Canis lupus familiaris: one gene and its partners. The protein of the gene in region 2 interacts with the protein of the main gene of each other region in a pairwise test. Links are inferred from orthologs where the notes say so. Each region holds a gene or a part of one and is shown on either strand. Other genes may lie near its edges. The genes, in order: AP3M1, SIPA1L2 and DDX6.

Region 1 (7,481 bases), about 18 Mb from region 2:
TTATTTGTGGATCTTTGTTATTAGTAGGTGGTAGTGGTGGTGGTGATAGGGAGAGTACCTTTGATCACTTACTGCTCAGTCTCTGGCGAGACAGTGATGCTCAGAGAAATTATCCATGGCTGTTAACATATTGAGGTTAAGAGAGGAGCACTTCCAAGTGCTTTGCTGCAACCCTTACAGCTTATGTGATGATACAGAACAAAATCTGATCATGTTTAGGCTGCTCTGATGCTGAGGCGTACCCATCTGAGAATGCTCAATCAGCAGTCAAGCTAAAAAATCAACTTGTTGCTTTCATCTTTTTATTGACAGTATAGCCAGATTAGAGAAAGGATTTACTGGATTCAAATGAATAAATACAATAATTTAATTGTAAAAGGAAACAATCTACTTGAAAGTTTTAGCAGAAATTGCTAGAGACAAGGGACTCGGCATATAATCTGCTTACTTATATATAAGAGAAGACAGCACAAAGAAAATTGGACAGTCCAGTTATACATGGTTGAGATTCGGGATTCTACAGAAAGAAAATGTACTGATTGTTCTTTTGAGATAGGACATTAAAAGACATTAAAAATAAAAGCAACTGGGCTGTGTAACCAACGTTAGGCAAAGACAATAAGTATTTGGCAACATCTTGATTTTAGCTGCCAAGCTAATATTGGTTACCCAAGAAATTTCAAATTTTGCAAAAAGTGCCATTTCCTAGTAGGTGAACGGCAGGTTGGGTACCCTATGGAGGCAGAGGTAAGAACGCTGCTGTCTGCTGGGCTCTCTCTGGTAGCCTCGACCACTAGCCCTTAACAGCAGAGTGGGATGAATTTAAGGGCCGTTCTTATGATATGGGAGGAGTTAGAAGCCGAGAAGAAGGAAAAGAAGGGAGTCACAAGAAAAAAACTAACAGCATAAGTAAGAACCAGTGGGAACCATGACAAACAAGCACTTGTATCTTCCAGCCTTCCTCTCTCCTTCAGGTCTAATGAGGCCAAGTGACTGGACAAGGACTTCAAAGCCAGTGAGGTTGAGTGAAATGATACAACTCTAGACTGACTTCTCAGCCAAGACGATCAATATGGTTTCATCAGTGTCACTGAGGATCTTGTTACTGCCTCAATATCATGTACTGTGTCAGTACAGCAGAGACGCTCAAGTGACAATTATGACAACAGTCTGAGGAAGGAACCTACTGACTACTGTAGCCTTGGGAAGCACACGGTATGAAACAGGAGCTCCCCTTAAAGGCAAGGGATACAGGTAAATTCAAGACCTTAAGAACAACAATAAAAAAGATAAAAGATTAAAAAAAAAGTGACCATAGTGAAGCAGGCACATTTTTTTTTTCTTTTGCTGAACTAGGGCTTGAGGCCTTTAGGCTAAGATGGTTTAAGTGGTGTTGATAAGCTTTCTAAAACATGAAGGTGGCAAAGTTCACTTAAGTTTCTCCTCTACCCTTTAATTTGCTTCAAATCTCAAATGCTTGTGCTTGCAATAACTTCCTAAAAGCAGAAGTAGTGTTCCCTTTTATTGCCTTAATAAAGCATTTGCCCCTTTGATACGATTTTTACTATGCTATCTAACAGCTGAACTAGTGGCACAAAACTGAGATGGGTACTTACTGCAGCAAGGTCCCTGTAAATCAAAATCTGAGCTTTACATAAAAATCTTATTTATAAAAAATACAATACCAAGTACAGTGAGAATGAAGCACGGAGCAGTGGTGCTCCCTGCCAGGGCCATGTGGAAGTGGCTTTTGCTACAGTGCTTGCTTAATGGCACAAGTGAAAAGCTGAATAAGGCAAACACTTGAAGAGGCAGTTTTTTGTAAACTTCTTGGGGTGGGGGGAACTTCCTCTGTGGGGATAGATGCTGATTTGGGATGGCTAAAATTAGGTGTGATGTTTGGCTGCACTTGATACATCACATTACAGATTAAGACTGCTCCTGCTGAGACCAGTTCACTTGTTTTCGGGGAGAGGTTATCACTGTAGCCTTTTGCCTTTATTGTCACTATGTGCAGCCTCCAGCTGATGCCCCCCTATGGAAGCAGTCACCTCCAGAATCTTTCTAACTGAAAAGATATAAAATAAGCTAAGTCATTCAAAGTTTCCTTAGCTGAAAGCTCCTTCAGAACCCTACATTGATTACTAAGCAACTTCATTAGCGGTGTGTAGCATGATAGGAATGCTTTGACTAATATGTATTCCCACCCACTTGGTACCTAACAGTAATAAACTATAATGACACTAGAAAAACAAACGGATCTTGAGGAATTTTGGCCTCTTCTCATGTTCTCACTTGGAACTTTCCAGCTTTCGTGACATATTTGACTCCTTTAAATGGCTTATATTTCTCCCCATACATGTCCAAGCGGTTTACTTTTAAGCCTGTGTCCAAAAAAAAAAAAAAAAAAAAGGTAAGGAAAGGAACAAATTATTTTCCTGGCCATACCAACCAACAATTATTTGTCTAGCAATGAACACTACTGAGTAAATCTGACATTAACCAAGTGTCCCTTCTACTATTCACAAATTATAGCACTGTGGGGGGATGGTTTTAGTTCAGATTCCCAAGTGGGCAAAGAATGTCTTTTAAGGATAAATCTTTCTGTATGAATGACTCTTCCCTTTGTGCTTGGATGAAGAGGGTGCAGAGGAAGAAAGCTGTGTGAAATAAAGTGCTCTGCAAATCACTGTACCTCGGACTATGGCCCCACAGCACGGTGTGACAGGCAAACTGGAGCTATTGTTCTTTCTAGAGAGGAAATGCTTGTACCCTTCTAAGCTCCAAATAGTTGACCCCAGCAAAACTCAGTTAAACCGCAAACATAAGTCAAAACTTATCCTTACCAGAAATAGCAAGCTGCTGGATCTTGAACTGTATGTTGAGACTTGGATTCTCTTCTGGCTTGGGTGCTCCAGACTGTAAATTTACCAGTCCTTTAAGACTCGGGAGCTTTTGTGGAGTAATTTTTCCCACATCCCATGTTAGTACCTTAAAAAGGCATAAGAAATACAATCTGAACCATTTACTAAAGACAAATGTTCAAAGACACTATAAACTTCTGTACAGAATGACGCACAGTATCTTGGAAACAAGGGACCTGGGATCTTCACAGAGTCTTACCACTAATCAGGTCTGTGACTCTGAATGGTGAGGGCAGAGAACCAACGTTTGTAGAGCATCCACTTTTGGATACAGCACTGTGCTTAGCACTATTCATACATCTCAAAAAGGCCTATGATGTAGGTTTTGTCTTCTTTTTACAAAGAAACTGAGGCTCAGTGGTCAACCTCTGGGGAAGTTCTTCAAATTCTGAGGACTGGTTTTTACTTTAAAAAATGCCTTTTCACTTAGCAGGCAGCTCAATGACTCTGCTGCTGAAAAGAACCACACTTTTTACCCAAGCAGGAATCTGAGAGAAAACCATCTTTTTACAGTTTCTCTGCAAACCCTTTGCTAGAGGCACGTTTACGTATGGTTATGTATGGTGAGGAAGCAGCTATCCTAGCCAGCATTCCCTGTGGAAGAGTATGAATTGCTTGTAAATGAAAAAGAAAGGTCTTAATGATCAATTTCTACAGAAAATCGAACAATTAATAGACTACAATACTAACTTCTTATATCCAGATCATGCTTTTCTCTTTTTAAAAAAGCTTTCTACGTCTTCTTCCTTAGTGAGTATGTCTCTAGATTATCAGTGGATGAGGAAAGGCACACTCTGAAGGAGAACAGAATGAGTCTCACGTTTCTGTTCATCTCCTCAGCAGCAGATGCGGGATTCCCTCCATAGCCAGTGGCCGAGTACAGGTTGTTCTCAGGTTTTGTGAGGAACTTTAGTTTTAACCAAGACATTAACCCTTCCTTCTGCCCTCCCTGCCATCAGAAAATAAAGACTGCAGAAACATTTGCTCACGCTTGATTAGAGCTAGCTGTACCTTGGTAACTGGATCAAATGTATAGCTGCCTTGTGTTGGTGTCAGGTTCATATTCAGCACAACTTTGGGCATATGAACTGTTACTGTGATTCCTTCAATAGTTTTCCCCATATTCTGCTTTGGTCCAATTGTAATATCAAATCTACCGCAAGAACTGTTCTCCTTAAAGCTGATGCTATGTTTCACATACACCGGTATTGCCACTAGACTGAAAAGAAAAAGACAGATACAACCACAAACATAATTAATTGTGTGAGACAGCTCCTGAGGTAGCCTGAGAACCTCAGTCCAGAGTATTCCACTCCTTTGACTCTACCGAGGGCCATATATCCCCAGACCTGGAGGGTCAGCATTCACTAGTACTCACCAGAGAGTCTGAGCACCACCACACTAGGAATTACACAATTTCTGAGCAAGAAGTATCAAATCAAGACAGGATTCAAGATAGGATAAACAAGTGGCACAAATAGCCCTAGTTTGAAGAAATTAATTAAGGTCCCATAGAAAAGAGAATTTAAAATTAAACTAAATGAAATTGTCCCTATGTGGTAAGAGCCAAGAAATAACTCCTCTGCTTTTGAGTATTACTGATGCTACCCAAATGCCTTCTGATATTTTCAAGGGACAAACCATTTACAACCCACAATGCCAATTCATTCATTTAATCTTAGTACCCGAAAGAGTGACCGGAAGTCAGTTAATTGGGCGATTGCCTAGAGAATTAGAGATGTATCTGTCTCCCTCTGTCAGATATGAAGTCTACAGACCACAGTAAAATTATGGCATGGGTTCAAGGTTTTGTGTAGGTTGTGCACAGTCCAAAGTGTTTGTTCTCCGGTATATGTTTTACTAGTACTTTATATTCTCACATTCAAGGAACACTGATTATTTTAGATACATATTTCACCAGTTCTTCCTGAGTTTCCTAATGAGCCATGGCCAAAGAGAGCAGTGATGAATTCAAGTATCCACCTGTCAGAATGAAAAAGGTAAGGGGACTACCCATCACTCTGATACATGATAGCAGATTTCTAGTTGATGCATCAACGTACTTTTGTGAGCTGACACGATACGATATGAGTCGGAAATTTCCATCTGGAGGAATAAATGACAAAACTCTTTCAGATTCCCAGCGCTTGAACCGGATGCAGGGGTGGAAGCTGACATCGTCGAGAAGCCGTGGGTTCTGCCAGGAAAACAAGACGGCAGTATTCACAGAGTGTGCGGAATAGGGCAAGTCTGCTAGGATACTATGAGAAATTAATGTACTCCCTAAGGATAAAAGTTACATTACGAGTTTGTTACTATGACCACAATAACACACAGTTAACAGTTTCACAAGGCTTTGAGATTTCAAATATATTTTGTAAAGCAGGGGAGGGGGCAGAGGGAGAGGGAGAGACAATCTTCAAGCAGATTCTCCACTGAGTGTGGAGCCAGACACAGATCTCGAACCTCACAACCCTGAGCTGAAATCAAGAGCCGGCTACTTAACCATCTGAGCCACCCAGGTGGCCGCAAATATTTCATATGTTATTTTAGTTGAATTTCAATTACTATTAAGTAGAAAATGTGAGCCGTACTATCATTTCCATTTCACAGATGACAAAAATGAAGTTGGAAGAACTCAAGGTCAAAACGAGATAGCAACAGAACTTTGTTCTCTTTTCTTAGTAGTGTATCATGCCAAATCTAAAATGATGCAAAAGATCAATGCCCTTTCTTATCAGTAAAGCAAATAATAATTCAGTGAGACTACAGATTTGCAGAAGCCATCCAGCCATTTAAGCCACTTCTAACATAGCCAGGAGAAGACTTCTCCTCAGCCTTTCCATAAAGGCCATGCTCATTATGTAAGCCACTGTCTTGGGAAGCTGTGCTAAGAATATTTCTGAGATAGGGGTACCTGGGTGGTTTAGTTAAACAGCAGGCTCTTGATTTTGGCTTAAGTCATGATCTCAGGGTTGGGAGAACAAACCCCATGTCAGGCTCCCCGCTCAGCGTGGAGTCTGCTTAAGATTCTCTCTTTCTCTCTCTCTGCCCCTCCCCCTGCTCATGCTCTCTCTAAATAAGTAAATAAATCTTAGAATATTTCTGAGATAATACTTACAATCTAAGATACAAACATCTCTCAGTATTTATCATTTCTTTCAGTACTTCATATATATTAGGCATACAAAGATCTACAGGACAGGAGAACAAAACTTACCATGAAAGAAAGAGAAAGGTCAGGCATTCCAGATAGCTTAATGCAAGCATCAATGACCCCCTGAATTTCTGCAAACACTGTAGATCCTGAAGAAAGGAAGTGATAACATCACTGGAATTGGAGTCTAGTAAAGACTAGAGCGATCACTGTCTCTGAAATAATGGAGACATCACCTCGGTGTCAGACATAATGAAACTTGCACATCTACTAACAAGTTAGTGGGACAGAGGATCCATTGCACCAGTTATGACAGTTTCTTCACTAAACGCCCACACCTAACTGGTAGGACTGGGGTAATTCTACGGAATATCAAACCTGCCTCTGTCTTGACATAGTCAACCTTGTAAGACTGCTGGATATGAAATTAAAATGTTTTTGGGGTGCCTAGGTGGCTCGGTCTGTTAAGCAGCCAGCGCCTAATTTCTGCTCAGGTCATGATCTTAAAGTCCTGAGATGCAGCCCCACCTTGGGCTTCCTGTTGGGCATGGAGCCTGCTTAAGATTCTCTCTCCCCTTCCGCCTCTGTCCCTCCCCATCAACTCTTTCCCTTTTAGAAAAAAAAAGTGTTTGAAGTTAAAATATTTTTAATGGAATTTAAAAATGAGGCAAATTTCTCATTGAAATGGACTAAGCTGTTAACTTTGAATAGGAGCCATTATTCTGTAATAATGTAGCTATTATTCTGTATGATAGAATTTTTATAATGAAAAGGGCACTGATTGAAGAAAAAATACTGGCTATAATTCACAATAACTCATTTTCACACAGCAACTAGCTGTGTGACCTTGAGCAGATTACTAAACCCTTTTGAGCCTCAGTTTCCTTATGTATAAAATGTGAAGGTTGGACTAGATGTTTTTAGTAAAATTTATGGTTCTAATAGAGTACAGCTGTTTTGTCTGGGGTCTTCAGAAGTACTGTATGTAAAGTGGTAGCAAAAGTATGGTGCATGGTAGATAATACAATAAATGTTGAATAAATGGCAAGAGGGAGAGGCAGACAGGGTAATAACTGGCTTAAAGTAAGGCAGCATGAGATCTGATTTACAAAGGTTTGGCAGATCTCAGCTAGTGGTTATGAAAATTATATGTAGCCTCTGGGCAAAATAAACAGATTTTAAGCTATCAGGAAGTGAATGCCTTTCTGCTGAAACCATACTACCAAGAGATTTCAATTTTGTCAGCTCAACTGTTTTTCCCAAATAAGATCACATGCACACAATTACCTGATTTATCTATAATTGCATCTATTTCTTCAACGACATCAAAATAGGCTTCATTATTTGTGTACTTTACCCCTGCCCGCCGCCATGGGATGTTGGACAGCTGCCCAGTGGGG
Region 2 (7,481 bases):
ATTTCAGGTCTTGACTCAGATGAAGAACTTGGGCTGCTCTGTCACCACACGTCCTATCTAGGTGATTGTCCGGGGCTGACCACGGGCTCCGGATGTTCTGTAACCTTTTCTTTCTATTTCACGTGTCTGCACGTCTGCATGGTTATATCTGAGCTCAGAGGATTGGCACACACAGGGGCCGTGGGGCCCGGCTGCTGTGTCTCAGGGATCCCCCTCCCACCCCGGTTTGGGGACTGCTTGAGGAGAGGTCTGTCTCCTCGGTTCTGTTAATCAGCGACGCCCTTCTTGCGTGCCAGCCGGCTGCTTTGGCATTTCTTGGGATGTGGAAGGAAGAAAGCGAATTGGCTCTAGCAAATCCAGTATCTGCTAATTGTCCCCCTGGCTGTGATGTGCGCATGCCATACAGCCCCCAAGGACAGCCAATCCTCATGCTTTCTGATTGTCAGCAGCTTGCCTGAGTCCGTTTATCTTTGTTTTGTTTAAAACAGGGCAGTAACTGATTGGGAGGTGGGGGCGGCGTGGGGTGGGGGTGAGGGTTAGTGACTAAATTCGCTTGCACAAACGTCACCTTGCAGTGCAGCCAGTACTCAACTGCCTTGGCGTGTGTGTGTCTCCCCTCCTCAGACCAGAGAGTGGCATCCTTCTGTACCCTGACGGATATGCAGCACGGGCAGGACCTGGAAGGCGCGCAGGAGCCGCCTCTATGTGTAGACCCAGGCAGTGGCAAAGATTTCATGGACACAGCTGGGTATGTGAGCCCCTGGGGAGCCTCCCCCCACCCCCCGCATCTCCCCAGGCCCCTGGGTAACGGGTTCAGCGAAGCCCTGGGCCACGAGGAGATCACATCCAGCCTGCATCCCCTGGACCTTTAGGATCCAGACCCGGGACTGAGTGAGGCTGACCTTCCCCCTACCCTGCCGGGGTGGGCAATCCTTGCCTGCTAAGACATGTCACCTGGGGCTCAGGGTGACCAGGATCTCTGACAGAGAGAGGGAGGGTGTGGACCAGGCTTGATGTCTGCCCATAATTGCTGCCACAGCCCTGGGATGGACAGGGACCTTGGTGATCAGTCTCCTGCTGCCAGGCTGCAGGTGCGGACCTGCCGAGGACACAGCTCCCCCCAGAACCCCAGCCCATGACCCAGCCTCACTTGAATGAACCATCCCATTCCCCTGTATTTTTTGACATTATCCCCACAGAGTATATGTTCTTTACCTGATTCCAATTTTTATATGGACTTGTGTTACTATTAACTTGCTCATTCATCTTGGTAATAAGCTTCATGATATTTTCTTGACTGAGAAAAACAAATTGGTGAAATCGATTATGTATTTGGTTCCCAGGACTTTATTGGTCTTCCGAGTCTCAGTTGGATAAACTGATTTAGATAATCTATCTTCTGAGTTGTTGTTGGTTTGGTTTTTTTGTTTGTTTGTTTGTTTTTGTTTCTAACCAGCATCTATGGTTGTAGAGATTCTGAATCCCTTTTTAAATCAACAGAGACTCAGAAGGGATTTTCCACCAAAGCAGCAATATGTTCCCTTTCCAAGTCTGACATGATATTATTTATTCCCTCGCTGGGCACTAAGCACATGAAATAATTCTCTGAGTGCAAACTTTCCCAGCAAGAGTACTGAGTGCTGCGTCTTCACTCCAGTGGCCTTGAGTCTTTCTGACTACCCCTTCTTCCCTAGGGAGCGGTCTCCATCCACACTGACCGGGAAGGTCAATCAACTGGAGTTGATTCTTCGACAACTGCAGACTGACCTTCGGAAGGTAAAGAGATCCATTGCAATCCATAATCAGAGCTCTATCTGGCACAATCCACCCCTTCCAACTGGTAGAAATAAAAACGAAAATACTCAGGAAAGATGAGTGCCCTTGTCAAAGCCAATGATTAATAGAAACAGACTCATAAGGTCTAATTCTGCGTTCTGGCCTCCAGCTCATTATTTTTCACTGTTAGGGGGGCCCAAGGATCGCTGGAAATAGGACTCAGTGAGGGTGAGCCCTCTGGACGGCCAGTCCTCAGAGCGAGGCAGAAACACGCAGGCTAGTATTTTTTGGTTCAGTGAGTGACCAGTTGTATCAACTGTTTATGAACTGACCTGAGGGGAGTTAGTTACTGCCAGAAAGCCTGTTCTTCCCGAGCTATTACATTCCCCCTGAGTCAGCTACGTGACCCTCACAACATCTGCCCTCCATGTCCACATGTGTATGGTCGGTCCTCCAAAGAAATTAGCTAATTCCTCACACATTTGCTGTGCCCTTGTGCTATCACCAGCACTGTGCTGGGTCACCACTGTGCTGTCCATGGGAATGGAAGGGAAGGTGACAGTGGGAGGGTGTTGGGGAGATGTCACAGGAAGGATTTTGTTACCGTTTTGTTTATGGAAGAAGGGAGAAATCACAGCCGGTATCAGTGCTGGTAGAGGGATCCATTTAGGAAGGAAGTAATGGCAGGAATAGGGGGAGCCAGAGGGTCATGCCCTGACCTAGGGCACAAAAGGACTGGCCTTGATTCAGAGTGGGGACAGTTTATACATAGTACCAGAGCAGAGCAGGGTGCGGTGGTGTGGGTGTGTGCATACATATGTTCACATACACATTGAGATAAATTGACAGAGTTCCCCTCTGAAGGTTTCTTTTTTTCCAGTCATGAGGTGAGAGTGAGAGGTGATAGGAAGGAGTAGGAGGGGTTTGAGGTCAGAGGGTAGGTGTAGAGTAGTGAGTAAATTTACTGGGTGTATTTGATAGGATTGCCAAGCAAGGCTGAAGGTCCATTTGAATTTGCAGCCTCAATTAAAGCCATCATCTGTTGGCAAAGTTAGCTGTTTCTCTCCAGCTCAGATGACTTACGTGTCCTGGTTTGCCTGGGACGGAGAGACTCCAGGATACAGAACCTCCAGAGCTAGAACCAGAAATGTCCCAAGCAAACTGGGACATCACCCTGCCCCCAGCTGTGGGCACAGGATAATTGGAAAGTTGAATGTAATCAGTGTTAAGAGTTTAGACAGGAAATCAAGACGAGAAAGAGAGAGAGAGAGAAAGCCCCTGGGGTATCTATAGGATGGGATTAAACTGAGGATTCTAGGGTATAAGCTGGGTGAGGAGACATACTGTCCCTGCAGGGAACATAAAAGATAAGGTTAGACATTAGATAACTATTGGAGGTGTGGATACTGGAGAAATTATTCTGAAAGAACAAGAGGTGGTGAGTGGGACTTGAGAGGCTGAAGCATCCCAAAAGCTATGCAGTTTTATAGGTAATGGCAAGGTACAGGATGGCCGTGGGAGCAGGAGTTGGGGAGAGGTGGGTTTCCAGATCACAGAGAGGAAGTGGTGGAGAGAATGGATTGTGTGGAATGTCTGAGTGGCTTTGGAACCATCAACAAACAGGACAGGTGGTAGGGGAGAGAAGAGCAAACCACATTCTAGAATCTTCCATTAGTGATGGGAGGGACTGGAGACAGAGTGAGCAGGGGTGGCAGGTCACACTTCTCAGAGAAGCTGAAGTTTTAGGGAAATAACTCCCTGGGCACTGGGGGACAAGCTGTTTGCTGGACCACCAGGGCCCAAGTCTTCCAACTACAGGAACACACCCTCTCTCCCCTTCATGAGCAGCCAGGGAGTGGTGTTGTCAGGAGAGTAGGGATTCACTTAGAGGTGTGAGGATGAAGGGAATTTGGGGGAAGAGGTTGAGAGTTTCAAAGGTTTTCATGGACTGGTTCCACAGGTCACAAAGGAGCAGAGGAGTCTTGGAGACGCAGGCCACCAAGTGGCCTCAGGCACGTGGGATGCTCTGAACCATGCTGGGATGCAAATCCTGGGACAGGGACCCCCAAAACCACCAAGGAGAGTCCAGGCAGAAGGAAAGGAGTATTGAGCTTTGTCCTCATGTGATACTCATGCCTCCTCATGTGACTGGGGTCCCTTAGCAGTGACGCGGGCAGTATTGTGGGTGCCTGGGCAGAGGTCTGGAAATAGAAGCAAACCTCGAGGGAGGTGCCAGACATGCCAACAAAAGCCACAGCCCCTACAGTTCACCCCCCAAGAGTGCTGGGCACAGCACAGCGGGTGGTGTCTGTAGGATTTAGCAGTCAAGTTAGATCCCACTTTTAAAAAAAAACCAATTGTTGCAATCTGACAATGACCTCTTTGTCTGTTTGGAGCAAGACATGCCTTTCAGCACTTGGGAATTGAAACTCAGGGTTGTACCTCAGATGTGATTCTTCTGGAAATTCTTGATTATTTTCACATAGTGTTTAGTGGCAAACTCTGAAGGTCACAGGACACACACTGTAGCAGGAGAGCTTACAATGGAGTGAAAGGCCCAAGTACTTACTTTATTAGAAACACACCTCGGGGGGCACCTGAGTGGCTCAATGGTTGAGCATCTGCGTTTGGCTGGCTCAGGTCATGATCCTGGAGTCCTGGGATCAAGTCCCTCCTTGGGTTCCCCACAGGGAGCCTGCTTCTCCCTCTGCCTATGTCTCTGCCTCTCTCTGTGTGTCTCTCATAAGTGAATGAATAAAATCTTTAAAAGAGAGAGAGAGAAAAGAAAAGAAAGAAAAGAAAGAAAAAAAAAGAAAAAAGAAAAGAGAAAGAAACACACCTTGGACCAGCAGCAATGAGGGAGTTGGTGCAGAAAGTTCGTGCATTTGTTCAAGGTCTGTCTTTTGAGCTCCTCCTGTGATCTCTCTGATTTGGACAGAGGAAGAGGTAAACTGTGGCTAATAACCTGCCCCAAATAACAGCTAGGTTGATACCTGTCGCAGGCCAAGGAGAGTGAGAGGAAATAATACACCAGGGTTGTCCCCCTCGGCCCCTCCATCCTGGGCTGACACCATGTGCAGGCCAGCCACCTGGGAGGAGGTGACACCCCGTGTCCCCACAGAAGCGAGGGTGCTGGGTGTGCAGCTTGGGGACAGGGGACGTGCCGGCCCATGCGTGACCCTGTCTGTGTGCCCTCTTCCCAGGAGAAGCAGGACAAGGCGGTCCTGCAGGCCGAAGTGCAGCATCTGCGCCAAGACAACATGCGGCTGCAGGAGGAGTCCCAGACGGCCACCGCCCAGCTGCGGAAATTCACGGAGTGGTTCTTCAACACCATCGACAAAAAGTCTTAACCCGGCCCTAGCCCACCGGGGGTCGTGGGGGAGAGGCCCCGAGCGCCCCCCGCCGCCCCCCACCCCGGGAACCCGCAGATGCGCGGTTTCTCAGTGTGCTTGCAGCCAATCGTAGATGTTTTTGCTGTTCCACCCGTCTAGCACCATTCACCCCCGCAGGGGAGGGAGGCGACTCTTTCCCTGAAGCCACCTGGTGACAGCAGCGAGGACAGCGAGGCCGTGTGCACACGAATGTAACCCCTGGTGTCAAGATGAATGTAAACCCTGGCGTCGGTTTGGCCCTCCGTGTGGGGGACCCCACTAGAATGGTGCTCTGGCGCGGGCGTACCTCAAGAGGCAGGAGAGGAGGGGCTTCACCTCCTGTGGATCAGGTGACCTGGTAGCGATGTTAAAAGCAATTGACTAGTTTGGGCTTTAGTATTGTAAAATAAACCCGGAAGCAAATAATCAGACATATACTTTAATGTTAAAGGTGCTCTATTTTTTTGGATGTACAGTAGTTTTATTTCTCACAGCCACATGATCATAGCAATAAGAAAGAGGCATAGTAAATAGTTGGAGAAGCCGTGTCGGGAAAAATGAAAACAAAAAAAAGCACTGATGTCTTTACCGCTAGTTTGAATGCAGTTAATTTAGAGGCCTATTTATTTGCAGGAGCAAACGGTGCCTGAATATTAACAGTGTTCTGATTTAAAAAAAAAAAAAAAAAGCTACATATGCCTTGTCTATGGCTCAGTAAGCAGTCCCTTCAACTTAGTTCACTGTGTATAGTCAACGCTCTGCGGAGAGAGGCGCACGCCTGCTTGCCCTCCACCCTCCCGGCCGGCCGCGGCCAGCCAGCCGAACCCCGTGTACACAGACGCCAAATTTGTTTATCTTTGTACAGAAGCTTTGATGAAGTGTCTTGTATTTAACCCCCTTATTTAAGCTTATTTAACCCTAAATTGTTAATTTTATAAACTTTGGTTTGACCTGCACTACGATGAGGGAGGTGTAGGCAGCAGCCAGCTCCGGGAGGACGGGCTTGCCCGGGTCGGATTGAGAAGCAGGGCGGGAAACTCTAACAACTGGATGCTGCTAGCAACGAGTCCTTTGTATTGCTTTACCATTTTTAACTGTTCTATTTGAGATGAACATACATTTTGCTTTTTTAATAAATGTTCAAAAGAGTCCACATCAGTCACGGTGTTGTCAGGTGAATGTAGATTTTTAGCATCTGTGTGTCAATAATTTGAGTGTATGTGAATTTGTTTTGGGCCGTTTGGCATCGTAATCTGTACTGAATACTGCTTCGCCGCCTTATTATTGAATCCCCAACTCATTCGAAGTAAAGAGTAACTACTATTAATAGCTGCCGTGGTCCACACACTCTTCTCTGCACGTTCCATTGGCGGGATTCCCATGTTGCAGCTCAGGAAACTGAGGCTCAAGTGAAATGATTTACCCCAGCCAGGAATTGGGCATCGCTTACAAGAAAATACATGAGGTAAAGTGGTGGGAATTTGAAAAATAGTTGAGAAGAGGTAAACTATGAATTTGAATCAAATGTAGGATGAAGAAGATGCAGAAAGTGGGCCAAAGTGGGAGAGGAGCCATGTAAGGAGCAAATTTCTCAACCTTCTGAGAATAGAAATCATATGAAGAATTTGGAGGAAGGAAAGTGATTTCTAGAACTTACCCTAAAAGAGATGGGTTTTCATGGGCTTCACCTGAGAGTGTACTAAAAATATCCTTAACATTCCTATACCCAATGTAGGCATAGGCTTCCTAAGGCTGTTTCTTGAAGCCTCCCTGTGAACAATACAGCTGTGCTTCCAGAATGCATCCAGTCAGTGTATGTGGTTTTTCAGGGATTCAGGATGTTAATATGGGCCACAGAGATCTTTCCTGCCCCCTTCCTTTCCTGTCACTGTGTGCCAGGCACTGTGCCAGGAGCTGAAGAGCCAACCAACACAGGTCAAGACCCAGTAGGGCCTGTCTGCATGGGGCATGCAGTCTACATGGGGGTACAGATTATTTCAAAAGTGAGAGACGGAAATAAGGAATGACTGGGATGGCTTCCTTAAATAATCATTGTAACAGCTGACATTGTTTGGGTGGGTATGTTGTGCCAGGCACCATTCTAGCCTTTGATGTCTACACAGCAGCCTGTGGGATAATTATTACACGCAGTTCCTCTATACAGATCAAGAAATGAGCAGTAGTGTGCTCAGGGGAGACCCCCGTGGGTGGGAGACTTTAAAGGTGGGAAGAAAGCCAGCCATGAGAAGCTGGGGGGACAATATCCCAGATAGAGGGGACACAGAGTTCAAGGGCCCTGAGGCTATAGAAAGGGTGCACAGAACATACATAGTA
Region 3 (7,481 bases), on a different chromosome or scaffold from region 2:
GAAAGCATATGCAGGACTTCTCTTGTAATATTTTAGGGTTTCGAAAAAATGGAATATGGAAAACAAATTTTTTTCATTTTATTTTTTGCTTTTTTTTTTAAACCCTAGATGCCTCCTGATTGACCTAGTACACTGGGTTAAAAGGGAATTAAAAACATTTAAAAAAAAAAAGTTCACTGGTTTTGATTCATCTCACTCCTTTTGCCTGGAGATCAGGCCAAACATCAAGCATGTTGGGAGGGGCACAATTTAAAGCAACACTATTGACTGTAAAGCATTTGCCAGCAATTTACAATGCAAAATGACAGATAATTCTTGTCACAAAGCAAGAGGATGGCAAGCAGCTTTCTTTAGCATGAAAGTTAACAGCTCTCAGGAGTTGCCCATTCCTGCAAGTTTATGTATCAAGGTGGGCAGAGGGCAACACACTTAACACAGTACAGGAAGTGATCCACAGAAAGTAAGCTCCAGAACTGCTAACATTACCAAAGCTGGTACTGGCTAATATTCTGAAATGCAAAATCCATGCTTTGTACATATACTGCTCAGACACTGCCACGCAACTGAATTTCCACACTGCAAGGGAGATTAATCTTTGTCCCCTTTTGCTGAGCTTGAAAAGTTCCTCAAACTTTCTTTAAAAGGGGAGGAAGAAGCAAAATCAGAGAGAGCTTCTCAAAAATAACATCTTGAGTTATAGGTTTCTGAAGTTTCTTTGCTCTCTCTGGCAGGTGTTCTCCAAAGGTATTAGATGATACAGTGTGGCAGCAAACAATAAATCCCAGACTTCCAGGTCCCTCTTCCAACACAGGGTCACCACAGAGGTCTGCTCTCTCTACTAAAGAGGCCAAAGTACTTTTTAGAATTTAGTGTTGCGGAAAACTGAGCCCCTCTCATCTTTAGCTGCTCCCATAATCATTCTAATCCCCTTAATCCCAGCAACCTTCATCCAAAAAAAAAATATATATATATGTATATATATATATGAACCCAGAAAAAAACTTATTTACAAAGTTTATACAAGTATACACACCCAATTTTCTATGGGACACGCTTTGCCACAGAGGAAAGAGGGTCAAGGCTCTGACATGTCTACACATCAAGTGCCATAACTGCTAATGGAAGCGTATGTAAACCAGTCTTTAGTGTTCTGCTATAGAGCACAAAGGCTTGTCATATGGCTCCTGCAATGATAGACTGCTCTTTCCTTTGGGAGCGATGATGTTGTAATCTACTCAGCCCAGAAGAAATTTTTACTTGGGATTGTTTTTTTTTTTTTTAAATACATGTATTTACAGTGCGGATGAACTGCAGTTGCATATCAACTCCTCCACATAAAGAAAAAGAGAATGGTGTTTAACATTACTAATACGTGTCATCTTCCAGCCCTGGGCTTGAGTATCAGGTAAAAAGGGAAGAGAGAGACTCCAACTTGAAATCAAAATAAAAAGACAAAAATTTTAAAAAGATAGGAAGGAAAAAAAAATAAAAAAAGGAAAGAACTACTATTGTTGATTTCTTGGGCTGTGTCTAAAAGATGATATTCTGAATGGTCTCATAGCATAAGGCACTTCGCACAAATAAGTAATAAGCTCTTCAGGCTTAAAAAACGGATGAGTAATTAGGGAGAAGTTGAAATGCACTCAAGAGTCAGCTGTTGGAGAATTTTGAAATTGTAGACAAGCTTGTGTGTTCATCAAGATTCTTCTCTTTTCAGGGTTTCTCCCCTTCTCTTCTTTCTCCTCCTTCCTTGTCCCCCTTCCCCAGAAAACATTTTTTAAAAACCAGCAGTTAGTGCAACTAATGTTCAGTCAGCACACAGTGCAAACAAGTGGAACAAAAAAGGTAAATTCCTTCTTTTCAGCTTTTTCTCTTCACCAGTTAAAAAAAAGAAAAAAATGTCTGAGCTCTTTTAAGTCTTCATAGTTCCAAAATAAAAGAAGATGAAAAACCCACAAAGAGAAGAGCATCCCCCCCAAACGATGTGTCACAGATCCAAACGAGCCTTCTGTATTTTGTGAAAGCCTAAAGGAAGAAGGAAGAAATCTAAAATTAACTTTTGTGAAGACAATATGAACCAAGATACCTAGGTTTTCACAATCTCCATCTCAAATGCTCTGTGGAGTGGCTTCTACTGAGCCTTTGCCTGCTGTAGAATCAATCCACTTAGGATTAAGGCATTTCTGCTAGGAATCCCAGAGATAGAGCAAGAGCCTCTAAATTCTGATATCCAAAACAGTTAAATCAAGAGAAACTGGGCAGCCCGGGTGGCTCAGCAGTTTAGCACTGCCTTCATCCGAGGTCCCAGTCCCAGTTGGGCTCCCTGCACGGAGCCTGCTTCTCTCTCTGCCTGTGTCTCTGCCTCTCTCTCTCTGTCTCTCATGATTAATAAATAAAATCTTTAAAAAAAAAAAGAAAGAAAGAAACTATTTTTTTTTTTAAACATCCACAAATTTGATAGCTTCCCAGGATACCAGCAAACATAGGCTACTTTTACATTAGCCTGAGGATTTTGTTTGACATTTAAGGGGGCGGGGGGAAGAAGAAAGAAAGAAAGAAAACTAAAGTGAAGAGTAATTCAGAAACTTAGAGTAACAGGCATATGGGGCGCCACGATGATTAAGCATCACATTGGTTGGCTCAGGTCACAGGGGTGGGAGGTGGTGGGGGGCGAGGGTGGGGGAGTGGCGGATGCTGCTCTGCAGGGAGTCTGCTTGTCCCTCCCCCACCCTGCTTGTGCTGTCTCAAATAAATCTTAAAAAAAAAAAAAAAAAAACCACAAAAAAAAAACAGGTAAAAATACTCATTGGTAATGTAAAAATTACCACCTCTCAAATAAAAGACTTCCCTTGGAAAAAACTGCAAAACAGCCTGAATTCCTTGATGCTGGGTCTTCTTTTGAGCACTGCTAGCAAAGCCCAATAGTCCACCAATGAAAAGAGAGGGTGGTACAGGAAACCAGAGTGAGTATTTAAAAAAAGACAATTATCCTCACAACCTGATTACACATTTGGCAACGAGGTACTTCAGGTAATTATCTTGATTTACTACAACGTCCAGTAGAAATTAAGAGTGATACTAACAAAAGAAGAATGACTAAGTGATAAAAGACCAAAAAAAATTAGTTTCATCTTCAAGTTGCTGAGAAAAAGATTCTACTTTGCTTTATTTTGAAGTCTGGATTTGTCTTAAGTACTGCTCGTGGATCACATCATACAGGAAAACTGCATTCAAGAACAGTATCCATGGATTCTCTCAGGAGACAACAACTTCCCCCAAGCACACCCGGTTTACCATCATTCATGCCAACAGGTTCTACGCTGTCTCTGCTAGTACGTGTGGTGTAACAGCAAATTTCCTCCAGGAAGGAGGATCTTGCTTTCTTTCCTTTCTTTCACCACTATGCTCCCTAGCGCTATGCAGGGTACGCACATGCTTGTTAGGGCTTCTCATCCTCCACGGGCTCGCTGTGGTATTCTGCCACATACAGGCTCTTGTCAATGTTGCTTGGGATCGGTTTAATTTCTGTTCCCAGCTGCTCCTCAATACTTTTCAGGTTGAAGCGATCATCATATGTGATCAAGTTGATGGCTAAGCCAAGATGACCAAAGCGACCTAATGAAAAAACATTAATCGATTTTTTAAAAAGGAGTTAAATATTAGAATCGATATGTATGTGCAAATCTCTCAGTGGCAAAAGCATACCAGATTATTAACAGTTTTGTTCAGTCCCATTCTCAGTGTATGCCTTCAGATTTCACAGCCCAAAGCAGTACCCTATTTATAGGCCTTTTTCAAATGATAAAAGAGGCTCATTTGTGTCAAAAGTTGCCAAAATACAGATACTAAATAGTAGTTATAGACTGCACTACCTAATAAGAAAAGTGAGGATCTCATTTGTGAATTTTGTATCAATTTAAGCATACAGTCAAAATATTTTAACTTTTCTTAAATGCTCTAGAAAAATTAGAAATAAAAAAACTAAGTAAATTTTAATTCACTGTTCTCATTGTTACTACACTCTACTTCACAAAAGAACAGAATTTAGTGATTATACTTCTCAAAACACTCCTGTGAAGAACATCTTCCTTTTCCTTACCTGATCTTCCAATACGATGGAGATAGGTCTCTGCCAGCTTTGGGAAGTCAAAGTTTATTACCACATTCACAGCTTGTATATCAATACCTCGGGTAAACAAATCTTAAAAGAAAAAGAAAGAATCTCCATCACATCTTTCAATTTAGGCATGTCTTTGTACACACCTTAACATGCATTTCTTTTTTTTTTTTTTAAAGATTTTATTTATTTATTCATGATAGTCACACACAGAGAGACAGAGAGGCAGAGACACAGGCAGAGGGAGAAGCAGGCTCCATGCAAGGAGCCCGACGTGGGATTCGATCCCAGGTCTCCAGGATCGCACCCCGGGCCAAAGGCAGGCGCCAAACCGCTGCGCCACCCAGGGATCCCTTAACATGTATTTCTAGTGCAACTTAAGTTTTAGTCACTTCATTCAGCAATTCAAATGTACTTGCAAACTAGCATTACATTTATGCTCATTATTGTACTAACTTTTACCCAGCAAATTACCTTTCCTAGTCCCATAAAGTTTTAAAAAATACTATAAGGTAACTACAAGAGAAAGAAGAGGTCAGAATGACTGGTAAACTAGAAACTCCTATATGTCTCAGGAGTAATTTTCATATACTTTTTAGTATGTAATCCAAGATTCAAATAGATTAAAAACTGCTGTATAACCAAGAATACATCAAAAACAAGATAATCCACTTGTAGTAATTATTTATACTTTTTTAATTCATTTCATTCTACTAGGTGATTTACAAGTCTGAGGCAAGCACAAGACCACCTCTTTACTTCTCTAGTCCAACAATTACTGTGCTGATTTAGGCTTTGAAAACTACAAGAAAAGACAATTACGATAGACAAATTCCAGCGCTTCTATCAGCTCCTACCCTCCAAAATAATCCAGGACAGTGACCAGTATTTCTAAAATACTGTTTTCAACTTATAACTCATTCTTTTAAATTGCCTCCAGATAAAATTAAAATTGACATAGAAGGTCCTGCACTCTATACTTTGGCCCTAACACAGTTCTCTGACAAGTCTTCTCAAACCTTCATCTCCACGAAATTCATCTATTTATTCTTTCTTAAACGTATTTTCTTGAAGCCTTCTATGGATCAGGTTTGATGCCAATCCCTAACTTACAACTCCTTCTGCAAGTCTAAAAGTTATCTAGTTTATACAGCCAGTTAAAATTCCATCTCTTTTCAGATCGCTATAGCTAATTTCCTTTCCTAAGAAAATTTAGGATTACTTACTACACATACCTCACATTTGCAAATTACTTTTACTCCCTTGTAGATCCAGCCCAAAGACTGTTTCTATAAATTAAGTTTTACTGTCACAGGACCATACCCATATGTTCATGTACTGTTTAAGGGTGCTTTTGAGCTACAATGGCAGAGCTGAATAACTTGTAAGAGACCATATGGTACACAAAGTCTAAAATATCTACTATATCTGGCACTTTAAAGGTTGCAGGGCCTGCCTTAGACTCTTAATGTTATCTTTTAAATCTGATTAAACCACTGCTCCTTGAAATAAAAAGTGATACTTTCCATGTATTTATTTATACACTTTATACACGTTATTCAGTATTATTTAATGACAAACTAAGTTTACATATTCTGAATTTACTTAACCTTTCACCAATGAACTAGTTCATCTTCTAGATTATAGATCTTCAACTGCAAACTGTATGCATGTATTTAAAATTTTTAAATTGTGGTAAAATATACAAAAAGCTGAGGAGTAACGTAGTTTTTCAGTACCAAGCTAACTAAATACCTGGCAAAGAGTAAATAAATGTATGCTGAAATCAAAAACTATTTTTGAATAAATAACAGATATTTGGGCAGAATTCAGTTTAAGGCATTCTCATTTTACAGATTAAAAAAAAGACATCAAAGAAAAAGTAGGACTTGTCCAAGGTCATATAATTACAGGTTAAAAAGGGTAGAACTTGAACTCCAATCTTAAAATTCTAGGAGCCTAGTATCTTTTCCACCAAATCAGATATTTTACATTTGAGTACTTCAAATACAAAAGTTAGAAGTGCTGATAAAGTAAACATAAATGTAATAATTCATAGCTGTACTGTCCTTTTAGATACAAGGCAGAGAAACAAGATAAACTGGAAACACCCAGGATATCCAACAGTCCTTCTATAAGTCAGCAAATTCAATATTCTGCTAGTATAAATCTGGAGTTTATTTCTATAGCAGTATTTTAAAAATCTGAATTGTATAATATTCTAAAATTTTGATCTGGGTGCTAGTTATATGGGTGTGTATATGTGCAAAAATTCATCGAATGTTCTTATAATTCTTATATTTCTATGTATACCTAAACTAAAATAATAATAATAAAAAATATTCTAGGCTCTTTTTACCTAGAAGCCTAATTTATATGATTATTCTCATACCAATACTAAGATTATACTTCCAGTGTAGAGATGGGAGGATACTCAATCCATTTGCTTTTTGTCTCATCTGATTGTCCACCTGCCTCCCCAGTTTGTTTTTCTTTGTGTACTGAAATACACCAAAATTTCTAAATGTAACTTATTTTGCATACAGTACATATTAACTCATTCTTGTATGCTAAAATTCAGAAAACACACAAGTCCCAAAACTAGTTTAAAAGATAGAGATGAGGTATGAGTGCCAGAACAAGTATTCCACAGTTTCAGATTTGAAAACTAATTTCAGGAATTAACTATAGCTTATTCTCAATTTCAGAAATTCTAGAAATGGCATTAGGGTGAGCTGAACTCTTGTCATAGACTCTTTTGGGAGATATGGACAGAGAAATCAGAGCAGACCCAGAAGAAAAACAACGGATAAAGGAAAATCTTACCAGTGCAAACAAGATTGCGGCATAAGCCATTTCGGAAATCATGAAATACACGATTTCGATGTTCCTAGGAACAAAGTAATGCATTTGCTTTTTAAAACTCATACAGCACAGCTCTAAGTTTCCCATCACTGATTTCTCCTACCCAAACAGTCTTATATACCCAAAATATACACAGATGAGAGATAAATTCAACAGCTATAAGTTAAAAACAAAAGAAAAAAGTTAATCATCAATTAGTTTCCCACAGGTATTAATAAGCAACTAAAACACATCTACAGGGGTGCCCAGGTGGCTCAGTTGGTTAAGTCTCTGCCTTCAGCTCAGGTCACGATACCAGAGATTGAGTCCCATGTTGGGCTTCCTGCTCAGCAGAGACCCTGCTTTGTCCTCCCCCCCTGTGCTTGTGTGCACCCTCAAATAAATAAAATCTTTAAAAAAAACTCCCAAACATCTACTCGTATCTTTATGCACCATTTATCTTAGCTGTTTTTTTTTTCTTAAGATTTTTTAAAAAAAGATTTTATCTATTCATGAGAGA

The links.
Region 1: the proteins of SIPA1L2 (region 2) and AP3M1 interact in binary tests that used the Homo sapiens proteins (3 or more experiments, as listed by UniProt). The two-hybrid records come from large-scale screens. The link is inferred for Canis lupus familiaris from reciprocal best matches to the Homo sapiens genes SIPA1L2 and AP3M1.
Region 3: the proteins of SIPA1L2 (region 2) and DDX6 interact in binary tests that used the Homo sapiens proteins (3 or more experiments, as listed by UniProt). The two-hybrid records come from large-scale screens. The link is inferred for Canis lupus familiaris from reciprocal best matches to the Homo sapiens genes SIPA1L2 and DDX6.

What each region holds. Positions count from the first base shown.
Region 1 is NC_049225.1:25,253,487-25,260,967, forward strand, and holds the end of AP3M1 (AP-3 complex subunit mu-1), read right to left. Parts: coding exon 7,369-7,481; intron 6,231-7,368; coding exon 6,145-6,230; intron 5,122-6,144; coding exon 4,988-5,121; intron 4,144-4,987; coding exon 3,936-4,143; intron 2,992-3,935; coding exon 2,847-2,991; intron 2,385-2,846; coding exon 2,284-2,384; 3' UTR 281-2,283; downstream 1-280. UniProt on the Homo sapiens protein: Part of the AP-3 complex, an adaptor-related complex which is not clathrin-associated. The complex is associated with the Golgi region as well as more peripheral structures.
Region 2 is NC_049225.1:7,608,676-7,616,156, forward strand, and holds the end of SIPA1L2 (signal-induced proliferation-associated 1-like protein 2), read left to right. Parts: intron 1-7; coding exon 8-61; intron 62-624; coding exon 625-748; intron 749-1,331; exon of another isoform or gene 1,332-1,694; coding exon 1,695-1,776; intron 1,777-2,859; exon of another isoform or gene 2,860-3,387; intron 3,388-4,979; coding exon 4,980-5,126; 3' UTR 5,127-6,305; downstream 6,306-7,481.
Region 3 is NC_049226.1:15,052,688-15,060,168, reverse strand, and holds the end of DDX6 (probable ATP-dependent RNA helicase DDX6), read right to left. Parts: intron 7,008-7,481; coding exon 6,944-7,007; intron 4,202-6,943; coding exon 4,100-4,201; intron 3,616-4,099; coding exon 3,440-3,615; 3' UTR 3,433-3,439; intron 2,026-3,432; 3' UTR 37-2,025; downstream 1-36.